Cricetulus griseus: one gene and its partner. The protein of the gene in region 1 purifies or fractionates together with the protein of each later gene. This does not show direct contact. Links are inferred from orthologs where the notes say so. Each region holds a gene or a part of one and is shown on either strand. Other genes may lie near its edges.

The links.
Region 2: the proteins of Pak4 (region 1) and 14-3-3 protein epsilon purify together in Homo sapiens (affinity purification with mass spectrometry; 4 studies listed by BioGRID and IntAct, with this or other methods). This does not show direct contact. The link is inferred for Cricetulus griseus from reciprocal best matches to the Homo sapiens genes PAK4 and YWHAE.

What each region holds. Positions count from the first base shown.
Region 1 is NC_048602.1:7,276,962-7,280,472, reverse strand, and holds part of Pak4 (serine/threonine-protein kinase PAK 4), read right to left. Parts: intron 1,606-3,511; coding exon 1,153-1,605; intron 999-1,152; coding exon 567-998; intron 1-566. UniProt on the Homo sapiens protein: Serine/threonine-protein kinase that plays a role in a variety of different signaling pathways including cytoskeleton regulation, cell adhesion turnover, cell migration, growth, proliferation or cell survival.
Region 2 is NC_048600.1:89,184,188-89,188,232, reverse strand, and holds the start of 14-3-3 protein epsilon, read right to left. Parts: upstream 2,806-4,045; 5' UTR 2,692-2,805; coding exon 2,628-2,691; intron 1-2,627. UniProt on the Homo sapiens protein: Adapter protein implicated in the regulation of a large spectrum of both general and specialized signaling pathways. Binds to a large number of partners, usually by recognition of a phosphoserine or phosphothreonine motif.

The sequences.
Region 1 (3,511 bases):
CAAGCCAAGCTAAGGCCGGGCATTCTTAAGTGATAAGTGGATTTTATTTGGGAGCTGGTAGGGGGCCCCCCCAAAATAACAAGGAGTAAAAGAGCCACAGAGTGAAAGAACAACAGTGGCAGGCTGGACCCCTGGACGCTGCCTTAGGCTGTGGAGACAGACACTGAGAGACACGTAAAGACTTCAGTGCCACACAAGTCCTTAGGCTGTGGAGACAGACACTGAGAGACACGGAAAGACTTCAGTGCCAAAGGCCCTTCCCTTGAATACGTACAGAGTCCGGGGGCCTGAGAGAGGCTGGAGCAGAGCCCCAGGGCCACAGAGGACACACAGCAGTGGGACTGGGGGAATGGGCACTGGCTGTGCTCCAGAGTAAGGCACGACAGTTTCCCAGAGACAGGGACCCTGAGAGAAGAAGAGGTCTGGAGGGGAGCACACAGGCCCAGAACTAGTTGGAAAATGTCAGCCTGGGTCATGGGCGCTTGGTAGGACAGGCCAGGCAGGAGCCTTAGGCTGGGGACAGCTGTGAGGAGAGGACCGTGCTGAGCTTCCTGGCCTGTACCTACCTCGTTGAAGAGCAGCTCCCGTCTTTGCTGTTTGCGCAGGTCCATCTTCTTGACGGCCACCAGTTTGCCTGAGCTGCGCACAGTGGCTATGCACACGATACCAGTAGAGCCCTCGCCAATCTTGATGAAGTTATCTAGATAGGAACGGGGGTCCCCTGGGTCTACTACCAGCTGCAGAGCAGCCCGGAACTGCTCGTGGGACACTCTCTGGGGCTCCCGCTGTGGTGAGCGAGGCCCAGGGGGCCCAGGGACAGGGGGTGCCACAAGAGCACGTGCTGGGGGGGCCAGCTGGGGCTCAGAGGCGTGGGGGCCCAGCACTCCTGGGCTGGGAGCACCATGGGCTCGGGTGGGAGGCCGGGAGGAAGATGAAGACTGAGGGGCAGCCAGGCCCGTGGCTGATGGCCCATTAGGGGCCACACTGTGTGGCTCCCCCTGCAACAGAAGAAAGGCATCATGAGCGTGGAGGGTGCTTTGACTCTCCCCAGCCGGATGACATACAAGGGAAGTCAGGGTGAGATGGGGTGTGGCTGGGGAAAGGGAAGCAAGGGAAGGGGACACTGAGGTGCTGAAGTGGGGGATGGGTTACCTGGGCACCTCGGGGTGGGTGGTCCGAGTCAGCCCGTGGGTATGTGTTAAAGGGTCTGCCAGCTGCTAGTTTTGCCCCACTGGCCAGATTGGCAGGCTGGGGAGTGCTAACATCAGGCCCAGAGAGGGGGCGCTTATCTCGGGAGGCCTCCTGGGGCCCTCCAGGGCCCTCCCTGGAAGCCTTGGGCCTCTTCTCGGGCCCCACCCGCCGTCTGTCACCACCGCCTGCCTCGCTGTGGCCTGTGGCCCGGCCTTTGCCTCCAGTCTTGTCAGGGGCCGTTCTGGCCAGGGCTGCCCGCTCCTCCAGCATTCCGTTCTCCTGGTGGGCACGGGCAGGTGGTGGAGGGCTGTCTCTGCGCAGGGAGTTGGAGCGCGTGACCGACATGTTCTCAAACTCGTCCAGCAGCAGCGTGAGGGCCCCATCCTTGACACCTTTGCTGCCCCGCACGATGGTCTGGGGTCCAGGCAATGGCAGGATAAGGCCAGGAAGGAGGGGACACAGAAACAAGACAATACAACACGAAAACAAGACAGAGACAGTAAAGTACTGGTGTGGTGATGATGAGGAGGAGTGACAGGGGACCCTAAAGTGCCCCAAGAACTCCTCTCTTGCCCATCACCACTCTGGGGGCTCCCCAAGTGCCTCTTGAGTTTCCTTGGCTCCCAGTCTGGCAGCAAGTTCTGCCCTGTGGACTGGGGTGAGGGAGGTAAACACAGCCTATAATCAACCCCCGAGAGCTGCAAATTACAGGCCACTTGGCTCGGCACTTCCTCCCTTGCAGGCTGCCAGCGTCATTAACCCCCAAACCATGCACTCTGATCCTCTAGGGCAGAGGACGGGGTGCAGGGGAGAAAGCCCACAGCCTAAAGTCAAGGCCTAGGAGCCGTGTGGCATATACATCCTGAACCACCAGGCTCACACCTCCCTGGCCCCACTCAGTTGTGGTCTCCACAGTTCCTCTATGTCCTGAGCCCCAGGCACACAGGCTTCTTCACTGTTTCCCCAATACACCAGACATGTGCTCATCAGCTCTTTGCCCTGCCCACAACCTACATCTTCCAAATGTCTCCATGGCTGCCCTGTTCCCCTCCACAAGGTCTCTGGCTCTTTCCCGTTTCCCCCTGGCCCTTAGTGCCAGCTGACATGGCTGTGCACCCACCAGGCTGCTCTATCCCCTGTGAGCTTCCCAGGGACTGAGTGCTCTTTCTGCTATTTACAGTCCCGCCTAGGTCTTGGCTCCAAGATCAGTGTCCATACCATGAGGAAGGGAGAGGGGGCAGACAGGAGGGTTGGGGGAGCTGTCCCACCGCTGCCCCCAGGTGGCAGGCAGACCCAGGACCTGGACAGCTTCTGATAGGCTGAGGGTATGCTGAACTCACAAGAACCACCTGTGGTCCCAGACAGGTCCTGGCAGTCTGCCTAGAAGTCTGGTCTTGCTCTGGGAGCCAAGTAAGCAAGGTGGATGTTAGGTCTCAAACCCCAGACAAATGGCTGAGGAGCCTATTTACCATATCAAAGCTGACCTGGCTGCTGGGCTCTCCCAGCCTCCCTTGGTCCCTACCTGGCTGGCATCCCTGTCCTCTACCTGCCTTCCCCCTATATAATCCAGCCATTTTGGCTGAGCTGCTCCTTTTACCTTTTTTACCGTTTACCCTTCTGGCTGATTGGTCTCCTAGCTTTCCCTTCCCCACTCTCCTCACAAGGCCCAGTCATGTCCACTCTGGACTCCTGGAGACCTGCCTCCTGCTGTGCTCTCCCTCATATCTACAATAAATCTCCTCCTCCACACCTGGGAGCACTCAAGCCTCCTCCTTTATTTTTCTTCATTCAGTGGATACCTGCCAGTCTTTGGTATTAGAACTTGGGGTCAATGGCCAAGAACTTTGGACGTGTAGGCAGTAGCAGCTAAGGTGCCCGCATGTGAATTAGGGCAAGCGCCCTTCCCCTTGCAGGCTGGGGATGGGGGCAGGATGGGAGCAGGGGTGAAATTATGGGGACATCTAGTAGGGACACAACCTGTGAGAAACAGCCACAGAGCTCAGTGGAGCACAGGAGGGCCTAGGGTGGGCTGTCTGGGGACTAGGACCCAAGAAGCAGAGCTGCTTCAGAGCCAGTTTCTACTGGCTTCCAGCTGGCCTGAGTCATGAGAAGCCATACAGAGTCAGATGATAGGGCCTTTCTGAGCCATGGAGAGAAGACAAGGCTCAGATGACCCTGCCAGGCTCAGCCTGGGCCCAAGCACTGTGGCTGAGGACACCCTGCTGGTTCTGCCTCTTTGCTGCCAGGCCTGGGCTGGTCCCTGGGAGAGGATGAGTCAGCTACAGTGCCAGGCACCCAGTCCGCTGACCACAGGCACACC
Region 2 (4,045 bases), on another chromosome or scaffold:
TTCTATAGAGCCATTTCTATTACACAAACAAAGCTGAATCACTGCAGTCAGTCAAGTAGTGGTGGGTTTCCTGACTGCCTTCCTGCCTCTCCCGCTCTAGATCCCTCCTCATGCCAAATCACTGCAGTGCTTCCTATTGCATTCCCTTCTTTCTTTAAGAGTCTCAAAGGGACAGTCACCAAGTGGCTTGTCTACACTCCTATGTTCAATAACTAACAAGGCCAGACTTTAGTCAGAAACCCTCAGCACTCAAATCACAAGCATGATTTAAAGTTAACTTGCCATTTATTTGGAAGCTACAATCATGCAAGTTTCCAAATCCTTCCTAAAAATGACTCAGAAACAAAGCAAAAAGATTCCCTAATACCTTTCTATTGGGAGGAGGGGTCACATTCACACTAAGCCTAAATCCCCAGTCTTCAAATGTAATTTCATGTTTCCTCCCAAGGACACTAGATTCAGGGGACACTTCTTTCAGGGAGGCAGAGAGAGAACCCTCCATTACAACCAAACTCTCCTGGCTACAAACACTAAAATGAAGGCTGACCTTGAGCTACATTCATACTTTCCCCATCCCACCTCCTCCCACTCCCAACAGAAGCCAACAGCAACTCAAACCTGAAAGGCAAAATTCAGTTTAGTATCTTTCCTAAACTGGGGGTTTTGAAGCCTTCTGTTCTAAATTCCAAAGGCTGGAACAGTAATTTCTGACAAGACTCTAGGACTAGTTCTAGAAAAGCTGCAACAGAGCCAAACTGGAATTCAAGGAAAAGGGTCTGACCTAACTTTTGAAAAACAAGTGGCTTAAGTAATTTGGAAAAAATTAGGGGCAATAACACTTAATTCCAAACATGCATCCCATCCTAGCCCCCAACACTAAAATCACAAGGACCTATCTGCCTTAGTGCACATGCCTTTAATCAAAGCACTCAGGAGACTGATAGGTGGATCTCTGTGAGTTAGAGGCCAGCCTGGTCTACATACTAAGGTTTCAAGAAAGCCAGAGCGACAGAGTGAGACCCTATTCCTAAACAAACATAAATAAATCATGGTAAACATATATGTGATTTATCACTTTTAAAATACTACTTTGATAGATATTGCTTAACTGAAGTATCTAGGTACAAAATCAGAGAAAGGGAAGGCACAAAAAAAAACATAAATTGCCTACAACTGACTAAACACAAAAGATATTTCAATGAAATGGTGATAAGACTAAATTCAAATTAGCACGAGCTAAGGATAGAGCTTAGTGACAGAGAGCACTGTACAAGGGCTTGGGTTACATCACGGGGGTGAGGAAGTAGTGGGTGTCGAGTGAACAAAATAACTATTAAAATATGTACATAAAACCATTTGCTTAAAATAGATAAAACAGAGGTAGAGTGTATCTTAGTATATGAGCACTTGCTTTGCATGCATGCAACCCTGGGTTGGAACCCCAGCCACGCAACAATGAAGTCATAAAACAGGGGGAAAAAAAAAGAATTGTATTTCAAAATCCCCAAGCCTCAACCGAGTCCTCAAAATAGGTAAAGATCCCCAAGCCAAGCAACACGAATTTTCCAAACTTACGTCGTCAACCAAGGGAGTGTTACTAAACATTATTTAAATTAACTATTTTTCAACAGGTCTTTCCATGTGTCATAATGCTGAGTGCGAAGAGAAAAGTCATTTTTACAAACGGGTAGACTTGAGACACGGGTACTGTAAAAAGCCATCATTATTACAGGGTCCTGGCAAGCCTGGTCTCCTGTATTTAAGAATTCTATCCATCAGAACTCGGGCTTCTGAAGGTTGGGAAAAGAAAAAAGAAAAACCCACAGGAACTTTGGGATCCCCTGGGTGAGAACAAACGGAGCACGAGTGAGGCTCCACACATCCATGGGAGGAGGCGAGGCAGAGAAGCCCCCCAAAACCCTCAACTCCGAGGTGCGCCGGCCTGCGGGAAGGAATCCAATCGCAGCATCTCAGCTTGCCTCCACCCAAGGATGATCAATCTGCAGTGATTTCCACACACTCCACCCTCTCCAAAGACGACTCCCCACCAGCGGCCCAGAGAAGCCGTCCGCTCCTGAGGCTTCTCCTTTGTGAGGCTCCACAGCCGCCGCCCCACACTGGGCCTCCCGGGAAAAGCCACCGCCCCCACCCGCCATATTTCCCTGAAAAGGCGCCCGCGCTCCAGCTCCCTAAGATTCCGCCCTCCCCCGAGCGACCGCTGCTGCTTCGCACATCACCCCACCCGATTGTCCTCCGCATCCCGCCACGGTCCCGAAAGCTCCCGTGGGGATTGCGCGCCGGGAGACGGCACCCGCCACCTCCTCCCCCCTCCCCCGCCCGGGGACTCGCCCTCCCCCTTCAGCCGCCATTTTACAACCAACTCCTCCACCCTACTCCCCGGCCTGCTGGCGGGCGAGCGTCTGCAAGCTAAGGACACCGGAGGGGTCAAATTCCTGGGCCCGGAGACTCCCACCGCTTCGGGAGCCCGCAGGACATTTCCCGCTTCCCGACCCGCGTCCCGAGCCAGACTCGGGGACGATGCCGCCATTTTGTCTCCGGTTCCCGGCCTCTGTGGGCGGCGGCGGAGGGTCCGAGACTTCCAGCCCCCCGACACCCCTCCAACTCACCGTCGTATCGCTCGGCCTGCTCTGCCAGCTTCGCCTGGTACACCAGATCCTCCCGATCATCCATAGCGGCAGCGGCTCCGGCAGGGTCTGCGCGACGGATGGAAGCGGATAGCGTCTCCGACTCTCGGCTTCTCGCTCCGCGTCCGAGCAGTAAAAATGGCGGCGCTTCAATCCGGGACTTCCGCCTGCGCACGCGGACAACTGCTCAGCTCTATGGCAACCGCTCCCTGGCAACTGGCGCGGGGGGGCGGGTCCGGGAGTTCGGCGCCAGAAAAGGCTGGAACCAGCACGACTGACGCCCCTCCTCCGTCGGCTCAGCAGTAAGGCGGGAACTGCGACTGCGAAGAAGAACGGCCCAGGCGAGCGGGAGAGGCTGGAGGCCGAGACTGGGCTAAAGGAATGAGCCAGGATCCTGTTCGGTGGCCGCCGGCCGAGGACAGGCCTGCCTGCGGAAAGACCGAGCGAGCGAGAGGCTTGATGGGTTCTTGCAACTGCAGGCCTTCCTCACTGAGACCCACTCACTGTGCATTCCTGCACGTTTTTCTCATTCATGTGCCTTTTTCAGAGCCTTTTAACCTCTGTGTAAAGAACTGACAGGTGAACAAGGGAGGGCTCCAGTTTTTACGCGCCAACTTTTTTCTTGTTCACACACCGTAATCATGTTTTTCTTCCCTTCAGCCGTATTTTATCGCTTTGGCCCATCACAGATAGGACTTTTGTTTAAAGGCCCTGGTTTTAACGTGGTGTTGGTGCCACACTCCTTCAACCCCACCACTCCGGAGGCATTGGAAGGCAGATCTCTATGAGTTCTCGAAGCCAGCCTGGTCTGCACAGTTCCAGGACAGCCAAGGTTACACAGAGAAACCTTGCTTCTAAAAATCAAAAAAGAAACAAAAGTCTCTGGTTTTTTTTGTGTGTGTGGTGGTGCATACCTTTAATCTCAGCATTAAGGAGTCAGGAGGATCTCTGAGATTGGGACCAGCCTGCTCTACAAAGCGAATTTCAGGTCAGCCAGGGCTGCATTGTGAGACCTCCATCGGAAGGAAGGAAGGAAGGAAGGAAGGAAGGAAGGAAGGAAGGAAGGAAGGAAGGAAGGAAGGAAGGAAGGACAGACGGATGTGTGGTGTGTGTGTGTGTCTGTGTCTGTGTCTGTGTCTGGTTTTCCTGGGCATGCGTGGTTATATCCCACCCCTCCATACCAGCACTATAGTGGCTGAGGTTGAAGCAAGTTGGAATAAGATCAGCAACTTGAAGCCAATCCAGGCTATATAGGGAAATCCTGACTAAAGCGGAAAAGAAAGTGGCATGCCTAGTTTGGAGTTCAAGGTGCACCAGAGGTCGAGTAAGGACAAATTGACATTAATTAGCTAGAAACAAATAACCCTCAATCGGAATTGCTTCTCTTGCAATGGACATCA